Stegostoma tigrinum: one gene and its partner. The protein of the gene in region 1 interacts with the protein of each later gene in a pairwise test. Links are inferred from orthologs where the notes say so. Each region holds a gene or a part of one and is shown on either strand. Other genes may lie near its edges. The genes, in order: zfyve19 and vacuolar protein sorting-associated protein 4B.

Region 1 (9,220 bases):
GGCATATGGCCTGGAGAGATGCCATGGGTTCATGCAGATTGCTTGAACTTGCCTTGTCCTCAGAAAGACACACATTTCAGAAGGTTGATGAGTTCAGTGGACAGAAGAGATGGAAATGTGACTGGATGACCTAGCATCCACACCAATCAAATGCAAAACAATACAGAAACAATTGTACAAATAAGTCACCAGCCAGGACATGATAAAGTGTATGTCACAGAAGACCAAAAGCCTGGGAGAAAGAAAATTTCATCATTCTTAATAATGAATTTGTCACTCTCAACAGAATCAAATGATTCATTTGAATAAGAAATCTGTCAATTGCTGAATCAAGCAGGTAACAAAAAAAAGTTAGCATTTTCAGATACAAGGATAACATTGCAGCGAGGGTAAATTGATACAGATTCTGATGTGCAAGAATACCTCAACACAATACCATTGTAATGGGGTGGATTAGAAGGAAGGGAAGAATAGGGGCAACGTGTTTGGGGAACACTAGACAGAGGAGACAGTGAAAAGCAAAAAGAGATTTATTATTTTGCATTAATCTTCTGGTTGCCCAACAACTGGATATTGCTGTGTAACTGATTATTTCAGTTGTAGCAGTACTTTTATAGTATTCCCAGATAGTATAATGCAGCTTTGGTGGCTTTAAGCTGTGTAGATAAACACCTTCACTTGTCTACTGAATAGCAGAAATTCCTCTTGGTTCCAGTCAATCTTGAGTTAATGGCAGTATCCCAACACTACAGAGGAGATAGTCAATACACTGACTTTATTTTAAATTGGCACTGCCACATGTTGTAATTTTTCACAATTTTGTGGAAAATTATGAAAACATTTTTTGAGGAAATAATTTATTTCATGGTTACAGATTAAATTGTTTAAAGTTTAAAATTCACACATTTTTCAAAGAAAGGTTAGGCTTTTAAGTTATTTTCCCCCAAAATAAATGTTGATTGACAATTACAAATTTGTTTTGCTGTCTATATTCCAATGTGTCTGGAGATGTTTTGCCTTGGGCAACCTGGTGAGGTCCTCAGACCGAAACTTGGTTTGTGAACATAGATTTTTTAAAAAATATAAACAGGCTCAGGTGCATTCATCAGGTTTTCAAAGAGGAAACAAAAAGACAGGAATACAATTTACAGAACTCAGGAAGACAAGAGGTTGTTTGTTGGAAGCAAGCCAAATGGTCCATTAATATCTTGCTTATGTTTTGCAAAGATAACTTATACTGGACGTGTAGAAGCCTCTGGGCTGCAAAAACACAGATAGATTACTAACTCGGCCAAACAGCAAGGGATGCTGGTGCACTGGCCAAGTAAAACATTGAAAGCACAAAATCCACACAGTAGACTCAGCTCAAACACAGCAGCCAGGCGCTAATGATATTAGCTTAATGTAAAAGACAACAGTTATGTTGGACAGACATACCCCCAAATAAAGGAGGGCTCAAACAGAAATGCTCTGGATCCTGCTAGACAAAGAAACTAACAGTAACATGCCTTCCAAATGATTAAGTCTGTTTCAAACTATTAAGTGTATGCCCCTGATTGGCCAGAACTACAGAAAGTTCCAGAAAAGCCACCGAAAATGTATAAAAACACACCACTCTCTTGTAATTGTCTGAAGACTTTGGGGAGATCAGTATGACAAGCCAAACAGAGTGAGAGAGAGCAGCTTCGCAGATCCAGAGACAAGGCAGCTGCATAATGTCTACAAAGGACTCGAGAAGTTCTGCAACCGTAAGAGGCCAAATAGGTTTAGAGACAGTATGTTTAGTAAGAAAGGTTATTGTAACTTTGTTCCTAATAAAGTTGCGACTGCTTTGTATTGAGACCAGCTTGTGTATGTATTGATTTGACTGCTTTGGTATTATTGGACACCTTGACAAATTCATTCACAACATTCTGGTCGCAGTTGTCTAACTTTTAAGAGGAGACTTGATGACAAGGTTATCTGATGATTGTTGTTCTGTGGACTCCTGAAGTGAAGAAGCTTCGTAATTTCAAACTGGTGACATTTCATTTAATGTGTATAATAAGGTATGAATTTCCAGTTTGGTGTATTGAGTGTGCGAACAATCTGGATCAAGATTTTGTATAGGTAGTAGTGGGCAGCCCTAAACACAGCTCACAGTAACAACTTGCATTGCTCTGAGAATATCTATGGCAATGAAAACAGAGATTGCTACAAAAGCGCAGGTCTGGAAGCAACTATGGAGAGAAATCACATTTAACATTTCGAGGCCAGTGGCCCTTCCTCAGAACTCTCATACAAAGGAAAGTTATTAATCAGAGGGAAAGGCTGGATAGGCTGGGATTTTTTTTCCTCCTGGAGCATAGGAGATTGAGTGGTGACATTATAGATGCTTATGAAATCATGAGTGGCATAGGTAAGGTAAATAGCCAACAGCTTTTCCCCATGGCAGAGCATAGGTTTAAGCTGAGAGGAGAGAGATACAAAAAGGTGCAGAGGGGCATTTTTTACACACCGGGGGTGGTGAGTGTCTGGAACGGGCTGCCAGAGATAATGGTGGAAGTAAGTACAATTTCATATTGGGTCAGGTACACGTATGGTGTAGGTAAGGAGGGAAATAGACCAGATGCAGGCAAATGGGAATAGTTTAATTGTGAAATCTGGACGGCATGGCCAAGTTGGGCCATCTTTCCATTCAACAAACCTCTATGACTCTATGAAAATACTATACAAGATAAATAAAAATTCATCTTTTTTAAAAATTTTGATTTACCCATGGACAGTAGAAATTTTGAAACTTATTTCCTCAGGTCCACCTGATGCATTTTGGAGAACAACAGAATCCTAAAGGGATTGGGATCAGCTATGATTCTCTCCATTCCAGTCCCACCCACAGCTAACAACTAGTCTTTTGCACTTTCCAACAGAGCTAACCAGGTAGGGAGGAGCAGTAAATACGAGATGTTTGTTTGCCGTTTAAAATCTCAACAGCTACAACTAAAACAAAACTGTAGAATTGATGCATCCATTTTCGGGTTGTGGTTCAGGACTAGACTAATAGATGAACTGTAATTTTTGCAAAAGTTAGTTATCACCTAAATAAAATGCAAATTTCAGCCCTTCACAACATTTAAGATTGTTTATCTCAAGCAAATCAAAGACATTGTTTTCCATTCTATGCTATATCTCTTGACCAGTATTTGTTCCCTTCTCTAGTCAGTCACCCAAGCCTTGAGAAATCATAATACAATTTTCAAACTGTAGGCCAGCTTTAGGGTAGGCGATTCATCAAAACTACTGGCTTTCACCTCGATGAATACTCATCCCAACTATGTTTTTGCTAACTCTAGCCTCAAGTGTTAAAATACTCTTAGACTCGAACATTCCAAACTTAATCACTCCACCTTGGCAGACATGCCCATCCACTTCCATCCCCAACGATTTACTCTAGCGTACAGAATTTGAAAGCAAATTGTTTATTTCCATTTGATCAAATTAAACAAGAACATGCATCGTTATATTGGAGCATTTTCAACCATGATAGATCTCTGTAATACACTGTGATTATTTTCCACGGTAAAGTACCCCAACAAATAAACATAAATATGGTCTAATCACACAATATTCTTTGGATTCTACCAACCGAAACAGAATATTCAATGATGCAATTATGTTTCACGTAGAATCTGATGACAGGTAGACGGAGAATGTTCACTGGCAGGTGTGAATTACTGCTGCGATGTTGGTGCAAAGTTTAACACAAACAAACTGCCTGCTTTAGGAGGAACATGAACTTGCCTCTTTTCTCAGGAGAGTAAACTTGGACGCGCAGCCATAGCATCTTCCAGCCATCTTCGGCCTGTTTGGCTGTTAACCTCTCAATTCTAAAAAGCAATAACCTGACCACTTTTACATTACACTCACACCGACCCTCCTACGTTAAATGCCGTCAGGGAGCTCGTTCTTCGCTCTCCATCTCCACGGCTACCAACCGGAAACCAAAAACCAGTTCCGCCCCCACCCCCTGCCCGCCGGGTGCCGTAGTGCTTTCTTTCCAGCAGACGTGCAGAGTGTGCGGGGAGCTTGAGCCGCATGAACTACAATTCCCGGCGCGCATCGCAGCTACTTGACCGCCGACAGTGGCGGTGAGCTGGACCATAATCCCAAGTGTCTTCCAGTGCGTACGCCGTGATGCACGCAGGGAATTATAGTCTCTTCTGGGACAAAACTTCAAGGAGCCTGAGCGGACAGGTGGTGTCTCGGAAACTACAATCCTAGAAGGCTTCGCGGCTCGAAGGGCTTGGTGTTGTTTTGGAGGCCGGTGGTGAATGTTTAGGCCTGAGTCTATTTCGCAATCGGGTTGAAAGGAAAGGCCGGAATCTGCTGCTTCGAGCTAGGTCACCTTTAGTGTGAAGAACAATGACAGCTAAAGAAATCCTGCAGTTAGACCTCTACTCGTTGCTGGGGATCAGCGAAGATGCTACTGGTAAAGAGGTAAGGAAGTGTCTGTGGGGATAATATAGTATCAGAGATAATGGGAACTGCAGATGCTGGAGAATTCCAAGATAATAAAATGTGAGGCTGGATGAACACAGCAGGCCAAGCAGCATCTGATGAAGGGTCTAGGCCCGAAACGTCAGCTTTTGTGCTCCTGAGATGCTGCTTGGCCTGCTGTGTTCATCCAGCCTCACATTTTATTATCTAAGAAGTGTCTGTGGAGTGTTTTTTGAAATCCCCGCCAGCCCCAGTCACTGACTGAAGCCGGGTCTTAGTCAGGGGACAGTATTTACAACTGCTGCTTTCAGTCTAGCCGCAGGGTCAGGGATCACAGGCTGGCTGTATCTCAGAAGGAGGCCGTTAGGTCCTTCGTGTGCATGTACCTACCAACCAAATGTGCCATTCCTCTCTCTCTCTTTCCCCTTCAAATCACACTCCCAATTCAATTAAAACTGCCTCCTCAGTCTCAGGAAGGGCATTCCTGAGCGTAACTATTTGCTGTTAAAATGTTTCTGCTCACATCTCTATTGTTTCTTTACCCATTCTCCTTACGTCTTCCACTAGTGGGAATAGTTTTGTTCCCAGTTTAATTTGCCACGACCCTTCATGAGCTTCAGTACCTCTATCAGACCTATTCTCAACCTTCTCTTGAACGATAATTACCCATTTACAAATACTAAGTTCCAGATCATTATCATTCCTGTGGCCACTCAAAGCCTTTACTCAATTTATGTATTTTCACCTCCTGCAACAAAATGCAGCGATCACAATCCAGTTAATTATGTCTCTCTTTCCTTTTCAGTTTAGAATCAAACTGTTGACCTTACACTATATGAAAGAAACCAAAAGAACTGCTGTAAATCAGGAACAAAAATAAAGTTGCTGGAAAAGCTCAGCAGGTCTGAGTTCCATTCTTCTTTTCCTTCACAGATGTTGCCAGACCTGCTGAGCTTTTCCATCAACTTCGTGTTTGTTGCTGACCTTACACTGTTGTTTAAGGCATTGACCCATTGACAGGATTGAGGTAAAAGTAAACAATTTTCAACAGGTGTTTGATAAAATGCAACAGAATAAGTTGCTTGCAAGGTTGAGCCATAGATTAAATGAGACAGTGACAGCCTGGAAGTCCACAAAGTGATGGCAAAAAAATGAGTAGTGGTGAAGATTCTTTTGAACTACGGGATGATATGCAGTAGTGTTCCTCAGGTGTCAGTAATGTGCTTTTCTTCATATCTGTTCGTGATTTTTGAACGCGGTTGTCGAGAACTGAATTTTGAAATTAGCAATGATAGAACATGGAAATATAGTGAACTGTGAGGACATGGTTGACGAATGTTAACACGGTTTAGTGAGAGTGAGGAGAAGCAATTGAAACTGAAAGATCCAATTCTGAAGGAGTTCAGGAGCAGCGAAAGATGGCGTTGTATGCATGCAAATCATTGTAGGTGGCAGGGTAGTTTGAGGAAATGATTAGTAAAACATACAGGATCTTGGCCTTTATAAAGAGAGACATAGCATGCAAATGCAAAGAAGCTATGGTGAACCTTTATGAAACTCTGGTTCACCCTCCTTTGAGATATTGTGTCGAACTTTAGGCGCTCACCTTTTGGAAGGGGTTTGAAAGCTTTGTACAGATTGCTGGAAATATTAATGAGAAAGGTTCCAGCAAGGATGACCTCCTTTTGTGCTGTAACCCTTCAATGATCTTGCTTCGCTTACTTTGTGTCTCCATCCACTCACATCTCCAACAATAATTGAGAAGGGCTTTGCCTTGAAGAATGAATTATTTAGCTGCATTTGCCATATTTCTCCTTTTTCACCAATTCAGATTTCCTTCTTGTCTGCTTCTCTCTCTGCAATTTCTAACTTCTTTTCCCTCCTGTTTCAGTGCCAATCTTGACCTCAATACTCTTACCCCATTTCCATTAAATCGCAGTTAACCTCAATACTCTTACCCCATTTCCATTAAATTGCAGACCCAAATTGCACCCATATTAGCTGCATTCTTTAAAACTGTGTTCACGCCTCAAATGCTGCTCCTGCATTTTTTGAATTAGCCAACTTCATCCTTGTTTCAAACAGGTCTAACCTTGATCGTTCTGTCTTTGAGAACTACTAAACCATCTCATGTTGTCCTTTGCTGTCACGTCCTAAATGTGTAGTAGCTTCAAACCTGTGACCATTTTTCTTGCAGAAATTGAAATATGGTGTTGCAATATTTAAGTTACAAATGACCACTTGAACTCTGTGGTGTACTGTTCTTCCATGGTCGTCTTGTGTTGTCTGCAGCGTTCCACACCATTCTTTTCTCAGAGCTTCTTCCCTGCTGTCCTGCTTTGTGGAAGTATCTTCATCGTTATATTCTTGACATAGACAATAGAAACCATCAGGCAATCTCATCCTGCCCCTGTGCACCTTTGGAAACTCCTGGGCTTCCTCTGATACCTTACTGCTTCTAAACAACACACCGTCACCCTCCACATGTTCACCAGCAATGCAAACTGCCCTTCAGCCCTACATAGCTTGCTTGTCTGACATTCAATTCTGGCTGAGCTGAAATTTCCTCCAGTTAATTGCTAAGATGGCCACATTCATTGTCTTTGGTCACCAGCACAAACGCAAACCACTTGCCTCCGATTCTATCCCTCTCTCCGGGTAAAATCTCAATGAATTGCAACCTAGGCGTTCAACTTAACATGGAGTGAAGCGTCTGGGGCCATAGTCTTCTCAATCACAAAGATCATCTCCTTCCACCTCCATAACATTGTCTGTCTCTGCCCTAGCTCAGCTCATCTGTTGCTGAAACTCACATCCATGTCTTTTTTTTTATAAACCTCTGGACTTGATATATCCAGAGCTCCAGCCTCCCATTCTTCATAAAGCTGTAAAGCTGAGCTCATCCAATGATCTTTTGCCTGGATCATACTTTGCAACTAGTGTTCTGCTCACTCAGCTGGCTGCGTTCACTGGCTTGCACTGGCATTCAGCCCTCTAACATCTCAGTTTTAAATCTCATCTTCTTCTTCAAAATTTCTTTGGCCTCAAGTTCTCTATCTCTATAACCTTGTCAAGTCCTATTTTGTTCTGCAATCTTTGTGTCTATCAATCTCTGGGCTGTTGCAAATTCCTTGTTTCATTAGCCTTCTATTGATGGCCATTCTGTCAGCCAATTAGACATAAATATGCCCAATTCTCTCCTAAAATCTGTCCATCTCCAGTTTTTTTACTCCTCTAGTTTTCTTGAAAGCCTACTAATTTGTCCAAACATTTGATCACTAAATTGTAACATTTTATAACATTATACCTGATTTATTTTATTACTTTTTCATGGGGTATGAGTGTTGCTGGCTAGGCCACTATTTATTTCCTTGCCCTAATTGCCTTGAGAAGGCGTTGGTGAACTGCCTTCTTGAACTGCTGCAGTCCTTGCGATGTAGATATCCTGCCAGGAGGGAGTTCCAGAATTTTGATCTAACAATGAAGGAACGGCAATACAGATCTGAGTCTTGGAGGGTTGCTACCATTGGCCTCACGGGTCATAGAAATTGTGAGATTAGAAGGTTCTGTTGAGAGATCCTTGATGAGTTGCTGTGGTAGGGACTGTTGCTGCATTATATTGGTGCTGGAGGAAGTGGGTGAGGTGCTAGTTAAGTGTTTTGTCTTGGGTAATGACCAGGTTCTTGCTGGAGCTGCACCCAATCAGGCAAGTGGCGTCTATTCCAACACAACCCCAACTCTGTGCCTTCTCGATGGTGGACAGGCTTTGGGAATATCACAGAATTCACAACCACTTGGCATGCTGTTACAGCCACAGTAGTTATATACTTGACATGTTTCAGTTTCTGGTCCATGGTAATTTGCAGGATATTAATAGTGGGAGACTTAGTGACGGTAATAGCATATTATATCAAGGTAGATGGTTGATGTAGTACGATTGTTACTTTCCACACAAACCAAGATATTGGCTGGATCGTGCTTCATACCAGCATGGAATAGCTGAAGAGCTGGAAATGGAATTGAACATTGCACAATGAACCAGGTGCATCCCTGCTTTTGACCTCATTTGGAGGGAAGTATTTTGGAGAAGGAGCTGGCCTCCAAAAACTACAACATTCTTTCTTTGAGCATTTTCCCTGATGAAGTATTCTCAGTATCCAGTTTTGCCAAAACCCCTTGATTTTGCTCTGGTAAATGCTACTGTGACAAGCCTGATGGAAAGTGTACACTGAAAATTGTGCCCACTATTCAAGGTCATCATAAATGTTAAGTTAACCAATTTTAATTTCTACAAAAGTAATGCCTTACTGTGACAACTATGTAAGGCTAAGATGCTATTTGTCTTAACATTGCAAATCAAGGCTAGTGTATGGACTATATATATTTTATTTGAAATATCAGCTGGAACGTGGATGTTTGGATAGCTATTATTGGGAATCAACTAGTATTTTTTCATCTTAAAGATCTCAGATTAAAGAAACTCACAGGAGGTATCATTAATAACTTGTTTATTATGACAGACATCCTTTTGTGGGCTTTGCTTTGTAACTGTTTAACACTGAGTACTGGTAGTGGTTAGTAATTATAGGAAAAAATACAAAAAAATGTCACAGATAATGGGAACTGCAGATGCTGGAGAATTCCAACATAACAAAATGTGAGGCTGGATGAGCTTTTGTGCTCCTGAGATGCTGCCAGCTTTTGTGCTCCTGAGATGCTGCTTGGCCTGCTGTGTTCATCCAGC
Region 2 (9,671 bases), on another chromosome or scaffold:
CGGAATATGAGTTGCTGTTCCTGCAACCTTCGGGTGGCATCATTGTGGCAGTGCAGGAGGCCCATGATGGACATGTCATCAAGAGAATGGGAGGGGGAGTGGAAATGGTTTGCGACTGGGAGGTGCAGTTGTTTGTTGCGAACTGAGCGGAGGTGTTCTGCAAAGCGGTCCCCAAGCCTCCGCTTGGTTTCCCCAATGTAGAGGAAGCCACACCGGGTACAGTGGATGCAGTATACCACATTGGCAGATGTGCAGGTGAACCTCTGCTTAATGTGGAATGTCATCTTGGGGCCTGGGATGGGGGTGAGTGAGGAGGTGTGGGGACAAGTGTAGCATTTCCTGCGGTTGCAGGGGAAGGTGCCGGGTGTGGTGGGGTTGGAGGGCAGTGTGGAGCGAACAAGGGAGTCATGGAGAGAGTGGTCTCTCCGGAAAGCAGACAGGGGAGGGGATGGAAAAATGTCTTGGGTGGTGGGGTCGGATTGTAAATGGCGGAAGTATCGGAGGATAATGCGTTGTATCCGGAGGTTGGTAGGGTGGTGTGTGAGAACGAGGGGGATCCTCTTGGGGCGGTTGTGGCGGGGGCGGGGTGTGAGGGATGTGTCGCGGGAAATGCGGGAGACGCGGTCAAGGGCGTTCTCGATCACCGTGGGGGGAAAGTTGCGGAGAAATCATTAATGTTATCCCTGAACATTGGGATAAAATAATTATGTAGAGAGGGGATCAATGGAGCCAGAAATGTATTTAACCTATCCTCTTTTCTTACATAAATAATCAAGTGATTGTCAAGGCTTAAAACATCATAGCCTGAATAATGAGACGGCCAAGTCCTATCAAAAATATAGGTGTGCATTCACAATTTAGGTCTTTACTAACCAACTGGAATTCCATTGTTAAATGTATTGTTCAGATGTATGAAGTGTATTTCATGCCTAAATTTGAACATCAATTCTGTTTCACTATAATGGTTTTATTCACTAATTTTCTGGTTTTTCTTTTATCATATAGATACTTATTGAAAGCCTATTTAGCTGCCACCTTTCCTGATCAAAAGATTACTTTTTCAAATAGTCCTACACAATGTTGTTCTCTGTTGCAGAAATGAATCTCCAGAAGGTGAATGTCTCCCTTGAGAATCAGTGACCAAAGACGTTCAGAATATCGCAGTTTTAGCTGGAAACTCAGATTTGTACAGCAAAATATTGACTGCCCATTGATTGTGGTTCCAATGTGATTGGACATGTTAAGCAATCAATAACTAACTTACTACATATCATAGAATCCCTACAGCATTCAGCCTATCGAGCCTGCACCAACTCCCTGAAGATCATCCCACCCAGACCCAGCCCGTCAATTTACCCCCACAATCCCATATTTAACATAGCTAATCCAACCAGCCCACGTATTCCTGGACATTACGGTCAATTCAGCATGGCCAATCCACCTAACCTGCACATTTTTGGACTATGCAAAGAACCTGGAGCACCTAGCAGAAACCCATACAGGCAAGGGCAGAATGTGCAGACTCCACACAAACACCCAACACTGGAATTGAACCTGGCTCCCTGCTGCTGAGAGACAACAGTGTTAACCAGTGGACCATCTTGCCACCATATGTTAATCATTTATATTTGCATTATATTCGATACACTTTTATAATGAATGTCACCCTTCACATGAAATATTGGTTGCCAAACAGATGGAAACCAAAGTTCTAAACAAGAAACTCAAATTTTCATCTCAACAACAATATTAAATGTGATGAGGGTGGAAGGTCCATTCCTTCACTGAACTCAAATAAGGGGTCTGTGGAACAGCCACTGTCGGAGGTAAAAAAACGTTAAGTTTGTGTCAGTTAATTGTAACAGTTGAACTGTTAGTAGCTGAATGAGAACTAGTTTGGAAAGAAAATAATACACTTCCATCCATTCTATACTAGCTTTCAGGTAATTCCAAAACATTTTCCTACAAATGAATTACTTTTAAGTGTAGTTGCTTTTAAACAGATATGGCAGCCACTTTCCAAATGGCATTTCCAATAGACAGCAATTTTTATGATTTAAGTTAGAATTGAATATCCACCAGTCATTTACATTAATCTGAAGAGGACCTAGAATGCACTGCCTGAAAAGGTGCTAGAAGATGATATGGTAATTTTTAAAAGTAACTTGGATAAATACTTATGGAAAAATTTCAGCGATACAGGATATGATCGGGGTGGAGGGGTTGATGGGATAATTGGCTTCCGTTTCTGTGATGAGCATTTACAGCCGATATAATCTGTGAATTTGGGAGGCTGTAGACTTTATAACGGTAAGGAAGAGAGGTTTATCGGATAGGAATTTTAAAAAGGTAAACCGATAAAAGCAAACTATATGATTGGGAATAATGAAATTATGCATTTCACCAGCACAGGCATCTTGGACCAGCTGGCCACGTCCTGTTATAAATTTGCAACTTTTTGGGGACTGTGGCTTTACAAACATTGAACAGGTGAGGGCTCTTTTTTCTAGAACAGACTGAGAAACAACTGATAAGACGTTATGAAAGAAATTGATAAGTTAGACAAAGATGATGCTTCAACCTGTAGGCAACAGCAGAGCGATGGCACAAGTACAAAATGGGCATCAACAACCAGACCATCGCAGAAGCCAACCTTCCATCCATGGACTCTACTTACTGCTGCTGAAAGGTGGCCAACATCGTCAATGACCCATCAGACCTGACAATGGCCTCCTACAACCTCTTCCATCTGACAGAAGATACAGAAGCCTGAACATATGCACAAGCAGGTTCTGGAGCTTCTTTCTGGCCATTAACAGACCGAATGGAATCTAGCCTCAAATAATGTAACTTGCAATGTAACCTTTATGCCTGTAAGTCTTTTTGATCTGTACATCCTTTGCTTGCTGTGATTTGCCTGTACCGCTCATAAACAAAGCCTTGCACTGTATTTCAGTACACATGACAAGAAAATCAAAACCAAAAGAGGAATTTAAGAAAAACATCATGATCAAGACAGTTATACAGAAGTCAGTGGCAAGCAGTTACAATGTGGAACAAGGGCATTGAGGAAAACAGCAGAAATGTAAGAGGAAGTAGAATAAGTACAAGTGAGAAAGGATTTAGATTAGGCTGGGAGAAGACTCACATAGACAAAGCATAACCTGTTGGACTGAAAAACTGATTAGTCTGTTGTGAAGATTTTGCAATAATTGAAAGGATTTCATCGTTATGACTCCTGGCTTGTTTTTACAGTCCTAGCAATTTATAAAGTCTTGTTAGGCAGTTAGCCATTTATATCTAAAATGATTTTGCTCAGTACCAGGGATTATTTGCATCTGCGATAAACACTGATTGTCACAGTTCTGCAAATTTGTGTACACTCTCCAAAGTCGCGCTTTTTTCATGAACAGTGTCCTGTTTTAAAGCAAATATTTTCTTTCCCAGTCCCAATGTGAGAAGCTAAGAAACAAAACAGAGAACAGCAGCTGATTGCTTGTCGAGGAGATGTTGCTTATGTATTACAAAGTTCTATTGGTGAATGCTTCAGAGGTTTAAAGGAGGGGCTGGCTGATGCTGCTTTTCGCCTTGCCTTCTTCCGGCTACTGCCCTTTAACAGTCACGTCATGTAGGGAACTAGAAACTCAGCCTGTCCTAGCTGTAGGGCACCTTCCCCTCTCCCCTGTGTTTGAACCTTAATTTCGGGCTCTTATCCCACTCTCGCCCCCGAATTCTGGACCCAGCCCTGGATAAGAAGCAGTTGATGTGAGAGCCCCAAAGGGAGGATATCGCTCCCGCCGCCCACCCTCAGCGGCAGTGATTACCTGCAGGTTGTTACTGTGAGCGGCCATCTGCCCTGTCCTTACGCTGACTGTGTTGACCAGGAGGTGACAGAAAAAACGCCGATGCCCCGACTCCGAACTTGCTAAAACAAACACGACCCTACTTCCGCCTCCGAGCGGCCGGCCAAAACGCACCTCCGTCACTTCCGATAGACTCGAGCACAAGATGCCATGACGGCGGCACACTTCCGGTGTTTTGTCCCGCTCCCTTTCCCGTGCCTGAACTCCTATTGTCTCCAAAACTGCAGCAGCAGTGCCTCCTGTTGGTAAACCAGGCACCTTTTCTGAAGAAGGGTCTAAGCCCGAAACATCAGCTTTCCTGCTCCTCTGATGCTGCTGTACACCTTGTTATCTCACCTTTGGGAAAAGGTTGCTACCAAAGAAACAAGAGCAGCACATTTAAACATTTCTGATAGGACCACAAGATATAGGATCAGAATTAGGCCATTCAGCCCAAGGAGTTTACTCTGCCATTCGATTATGGCTGATATGTTTCTTAGCCCTATTCTCCTGCCATCTCCCAGTAACCTCAGATCCCCTTACTAATAATGAACTTAACTAACTCTGTGTTAAACTCTGACATTGCCTCCACAGCCTGCTGCAGCAATGTATTCGACAGATTCACCACCCTTTAGGGCTGCACAGTGGTTCAGTGGTTAGCATTGCAGCCTTATAGTGCCAGGGACATCAGGGACCTGGGTTTGATTCCACCCTTAGGTGACTCTGGAGTTTGTGTATTCTCCACATGTCTGCTTGGGTTTCCACAAGTGCTCTGGTTTTCTCCTGGATAGGGGAAGTTGGTGGGTCTGGTAGGACCCTCTTTGCAGGGTCACTGTGAACTCAATGGACCAAAAAAGCTGCTTCCACACTAGGGATTCTATGATTCTGGCTGAAGAAATGCCATGTCAGTTCTAAAAGGTTCACTGAGACCTTGACCTTGAGTCCTTGTCTCTCCTACTGGTTGCCCAGATAACATAAAAATGACATAAAGATTCTTGAACTCCCAAGGTTTGCAAACAGACAATGGAAATGCAAGAACTCCAGCCTCAGAAACAAACAGTAGGTGGGAGGAAGAATTTCACGGGGACTCAGCAGAAGTGAATTCTTTGCAGAAAACTTGATTGCCCAAAATTTTCCATTTTGCATTTTTGAACTGCAAGATTGTAACAGAATGAGACAGAGTCAGCTTAGCTTAAGGAAGCTGTGCTTAATAAAGCTGCAGGAATTTTTTGAGGATGTAACTAGTGGCATAGATAAGGAGTAGCCAGTGGATGTGATTTGCTTGGATTTTCAGAAGGCTTTTGATAAGACTCCACGTAAGAGATTAGCAGACAAAATTGAAGCACATGGGATTGGGGGTCATGTTCTGAAATAGATTAAGAACTGGTTGGCAGACAGGAAACCGTTCACAATATACATATGATTTAGATGAGGGAACTAATTGTAATATCTCAAAATTTGCAGCTAACACAAAGCTCCATGGGAGGGTATGCCGTTAGAAAAATGTGAAGAGGTTTCAGTGCGATTTGCACAAGTGGGCAAATTCGTGACAGATGCAGAATGAGACCACTGTGTCCTTGTATACCAGTAACTCAAAATAAGTATGTAGCTGCAGCAGTTGGTGAAAAAGGCAAAATAGAATGTTAACCTTCAGAGGAAGGGAATTAGGGCATGAAGCAAAGATGTCTTTGCCGAGGTCAGACCATACCTGGAGTAGGGTGTTCAGTTTAGGTCTTATTTCAGGAAGGATATTCTGGTTATTAAGTCTTTGCAAAAAAGGTTTACCTTCCTGGGATTCCTGCAATGGTGGGACTAACGTATGGTGAGAGACTGGATCAGATAGAACTATATTCATGGAGTTTTGAAGCATTTGAGGGGGGCGGGTGTAGAATGTCAGTAACCTAAATGCATGGAGGATGTCTCCAATGATGGGAGAGTCCAGAACCAGGGGTCACAGTTCAAGGATATGGGGTGCTCCATTTAAGACAGAGATGAGGAGAAATTTCTTAAGTTAGAGAGTGGTGAGCCTTAGGAATTTTCTGCTGCAGAAAGCAGCTGGGGCCAAAAAATTGAAAACTTCCAAGAAATATGGTGATACAAATTTTAGGACTAAAGGTATCAAAAAGCATAGGGAGAAAGTGGGAACAAGATATTGAGTTGGATGATCAGCGTGATCGTATTAAATGGTGAAAATGGGTCAAAGAGCTGAATGGTCTACTGTTGTTCCTTTCTTCTGCTGGCTGTATAAAGAAACCCAGCCAAGAACAGCCATTGTTCAAGAGTTCTTGCAGCAACTTTGATAACGAGGCAGGGGATTTTTGAATGAGCGAGATAAAAGTGCCATTCACAAACCTCTCCAGGAGATTGTGAAGGAGAAAGAGAGATGCTGAAACATCTGGTAGTCTGCTAAAACTGCCATGCCCACCCTGGAATCTAGGATTCATTCTTCTCATAAATATACTGTTCTGAAAAAATGACCTGTTCAAGTTAACACAACCTATTCAATAACAGCAGCTATTACACTGCTGGATTATATATCAAGCAGTAATCCCAACTTCAGAAACAAGCCATATTATATTACAGCGACTTATTTAGACTCTTGCATATTCTTCTGCTTTATCTGTACTTGTTTTAAATCTTTTTGAATCAATTTGGTCGGAAATACACTCCTAGGGCAGATGAGTCTTGAACCCTAGGCTCCTAAACTTTGTTGTTAATAACTCTATCCCTCAGGAACCTGCAGTAATAACTTGCAATAAATTTTCCTTTAACCCGTTTAGAACAAATGGGTTTTGTTGGTCTGTTCAATCAAGCAGACTCTGTATGTTTTTATGAAGAAGAAACTGTGTTTGATAAATTTACAATAGTTGATGAGGATGTAATAAGTGAGGGTGGATATAGAGGAATCAATAAGTATAATGTAGTTTGGTTTCCAACACTTATTGATAAGGTGCTTTCACACAAGTTAAGCGTTTGGGCTGTGGAGGGGTAATATGTTAATGTGGCTAACAGGGAACACAGAGATAGGATAAAAAAGTCATTTCTGGCTAACAAACTGTTACTTTGGAATTTTGTAGGAATCAGTGCTGGGGCCTCAACTATTTACAATCAATATTAGTGACTTGGAAGAAGAAACAAACTGATTCTTACCAAATTTGCTAATGAAGCTAAAACTGTTTTCTTCCTTCTTCACACACAATATAGCAATTTTAATTAAATTAAAGCTATGCATGGCTTCTGTTCACTTTAGAACCCATGGCTAGGGAGTATACATCAAGTGGTAGGACCCTAGGAAGTACAAAGAATCAGAGGGACCTTGGTATGCATGTCCATAGATCTTTGAAGGTCAGGTAGATAAGGTGGTTAAGAAGACATATTGTATACTTGCCTTAACTAATTAAGGCATTGGATAAAAGATCAAGGAGGTAATGAAGGAGCTGTATATAACATTAGTTAGGCCATGGTTGGTGCAGTTCTGGTCATCATAACATAGAAAGAATGTGATAGCACTGGAGAGAGTGAAGAAGAAATTCACTAAGATATTGCCTGGGCTGGAATGATTCAGCTATGAAGATAGATTTAATAGGCTGTGGTCACTTACTTTAGAGCAGAGAGGCAGAAGGGAAATCTGATTGAGGGGTGGAAAGTTCTGAGGGGCATACACAAGGTAGAAATGAAAAAAACTCATTCAGAGGGGCAGGAAACAGGGGTCAAGGTAAGGAGCAGGAGGTTTACAGGGGATTTGAAGAATTTCTTTTCACCCAAAACATTATGTATATCTGGAAATCACTGCCTAAAAGAGTAATTTGAATTAGGTTTATTGTCACATATATTCACATGAGTACAGAGAAAAGTTTATAAGTCGCCACTTAGTCATAAAGCAGAAAATAAGGAAAACAAAGTTAAAAAGTAGAAAAATAAAGAAACACAGTTAACAGTTCAAGACCACAGTCCATAAATGCCCAGACAGGTTGGACTCAGATACCTCACAAGGGCTCAATATCCCCTGCTTTGGGCTCAACCTTGACCCTGCTGCTGCCCCAGGTTGCGTGCAGCCATCATGCCAAAAAGAAGGAAAAAATGAAGACTGAAGAGTAAAGAAGAAAGAAAAGTAAAAAGAAAGGAAAAAACAAACCGGCTCAGGTGTCAGAACGCTGCCTACCCTGTCATTACCACTATCCTGGATAAAGTTGAGGGTAGAAGAGGAAAACTTCAATTGCTTTGAAAATGTTTAGATGAACACATGCAGACTGCAATCAGTAATGATGGGTGACAATGTTTCCTCCACAATAATTTTCAACACCAGTGCCTTGCAAGGCTCCTACTCAGCTCCTTACTATACTCCTTATATATTCATGACTGTGTGGCCAAATTCAGTGTTAACTCCATTTACAACCATTGACACCATTGTAGTGGTTTGGATATCAAACGGCAATGAAACAGAGTACAGGAAAAAGACAGCTCTGTGGCATGGTATCAAGTCAACAATCTCTCTCTCAATGTCTGTAAAACAAAGGAGCTGGTCATCAACTTCATGAACTGGAGTGGAGGGCACATCCTCATCTGTATCAACGGTGCTGAGGTAATCAAGAGCTATAAGTTCCTAGAAGTAAATATCACCAACAATCTTGCACACCAATGCCCCTACTTCTTCAGAAAGCTAAGGAAATTTGGCACATACACAATTACTCAGACCAATTTTTATAGATGCACCATAGAAAGCATTTGATCCGGATGCATCACAGCTTGGTATGTCAACAGCGCTGCCCAAGACTGCAAGAAATTACAAAGAATTACGAACCAGCCCAGTCCATTATGAAAACTAGCCTTCATTCCGTTGACTCCGTTTACATTTCCCACTGCCTTGGGAAAGCAGCCAACATAATCAAGGACCCCACCCAACCTAGTTATACTCTCTTTCACCTCCTTCCATCAGGCAGACAATACAAAAGTTTGAAAATGTGTATCAAGAAATTCAAGAAAAGCTTCTTCTCTGCTGTTATCAGACTTTTGAATAGACCTATCATTTCATAACTCTGATGTCTCTCTCCCTGCACGTTCTCTGTGACTGTAACACTGTATTCAGCAGTCTGTTCTGCTACAATGATGCACTTTGTACGATACATTCTGCCTGTATAGTACTCAAAACAACACTTTTTACTTCACCTTGGTACATGTGACAACAATAAATCAATCAATCAATGTTCAGTTTTAATCATCAGCTGTGTGACCAAATGTCTACTTTGCTGCAAATACAAGAATGAAGTAGCAGAGCTTAGTGATCAATGGACTACATGAGAGATTTATACTCCAAGGTGTAAAGTAAGCAGCTCATGTACCAGGTGCAGGCTATGGGAACATGGAAGGTGATTGCAATGACAGTGCATTTTTCAGCGCTGCAGTACATTGCCTGTGATTCAGGTCATTAGTGGGACTGAGTCCTGATGCTGCACAGTGTGGTTAAGAGTGTTTGGGGACAGGATTTGTAGAAGTTATCATCTCAAGTTCACATAGCTTGTAGTTTGATGGGTATCTTTCAGCTCTACTGTTTGGCTTTCTGTGTAATGCCGTTGCTCTTTGATTGGCTTCACATTGCTTAAACATGAAGCTCATTCCCTCACAGAACAAGGCAGTTACCTTGTCTCTTTTTTGTGTGGGGGTGGTGGCACCCATTTTCAATTCCACTATGCACTTGTTTTTGCATCATGATGAGGGGAAATAACAACTCTATTTTATGCAGAGACTCTCAAGTTCACACCTCTTACCTTTATTCAGCTTGAAAATGTACATAATCTTTTCTTGGTAGCCCTCCCTATCAGCTTTGAATTT

What was found.
Region 2: the proteins of zfyve19 (region 1) and vacuolar protein sorting-associated protein 4B interact in binary tests that used the Homo sapiens proteins (3 or more experiments, as listed by UniProt). The two-hybrid records come from large-scale screens. The link is inferred for Stegostoma tigrinum from reciprocal best matches to the Homo sapiens genes ZFYVE19 and VPS4B.

The regions. Positions count from the first base shown.
Region 1 is NC_081363.1:82,441,442-82,450,661, reverse strand, and holds the start of zfyve19 (abscission/NoCut checkpoint regulator), read right to left. Parts: upstream 3,974-9,220; 5' UTR 3,835-3,973; coding exon 3,781-3,834; intron 1-3,780. Other genes in the region: dnajc17 (dnaJ homolog subfamily C member 17), read left to right, coding at 4,402-4,476. UniProt on the Homo sapiens protein: Key regulator of abscission step in cytokinesis: part of the cytokinesis checkpoint, a process required to delay abscission to prevent both premature resolution of intercellular chromosome bridges and accumulation of DNA damage.
Region 2 is NC_081355.1:54,427,899-54,437,569, reverse strand, and holds the start of vacuolar protein sorting-associated protein 4B, read right to left. Parts: upstream 3,977-9,671; 5' UTR 3,852-3,976; coding exon 3,825-3,851; intron 1-3,824.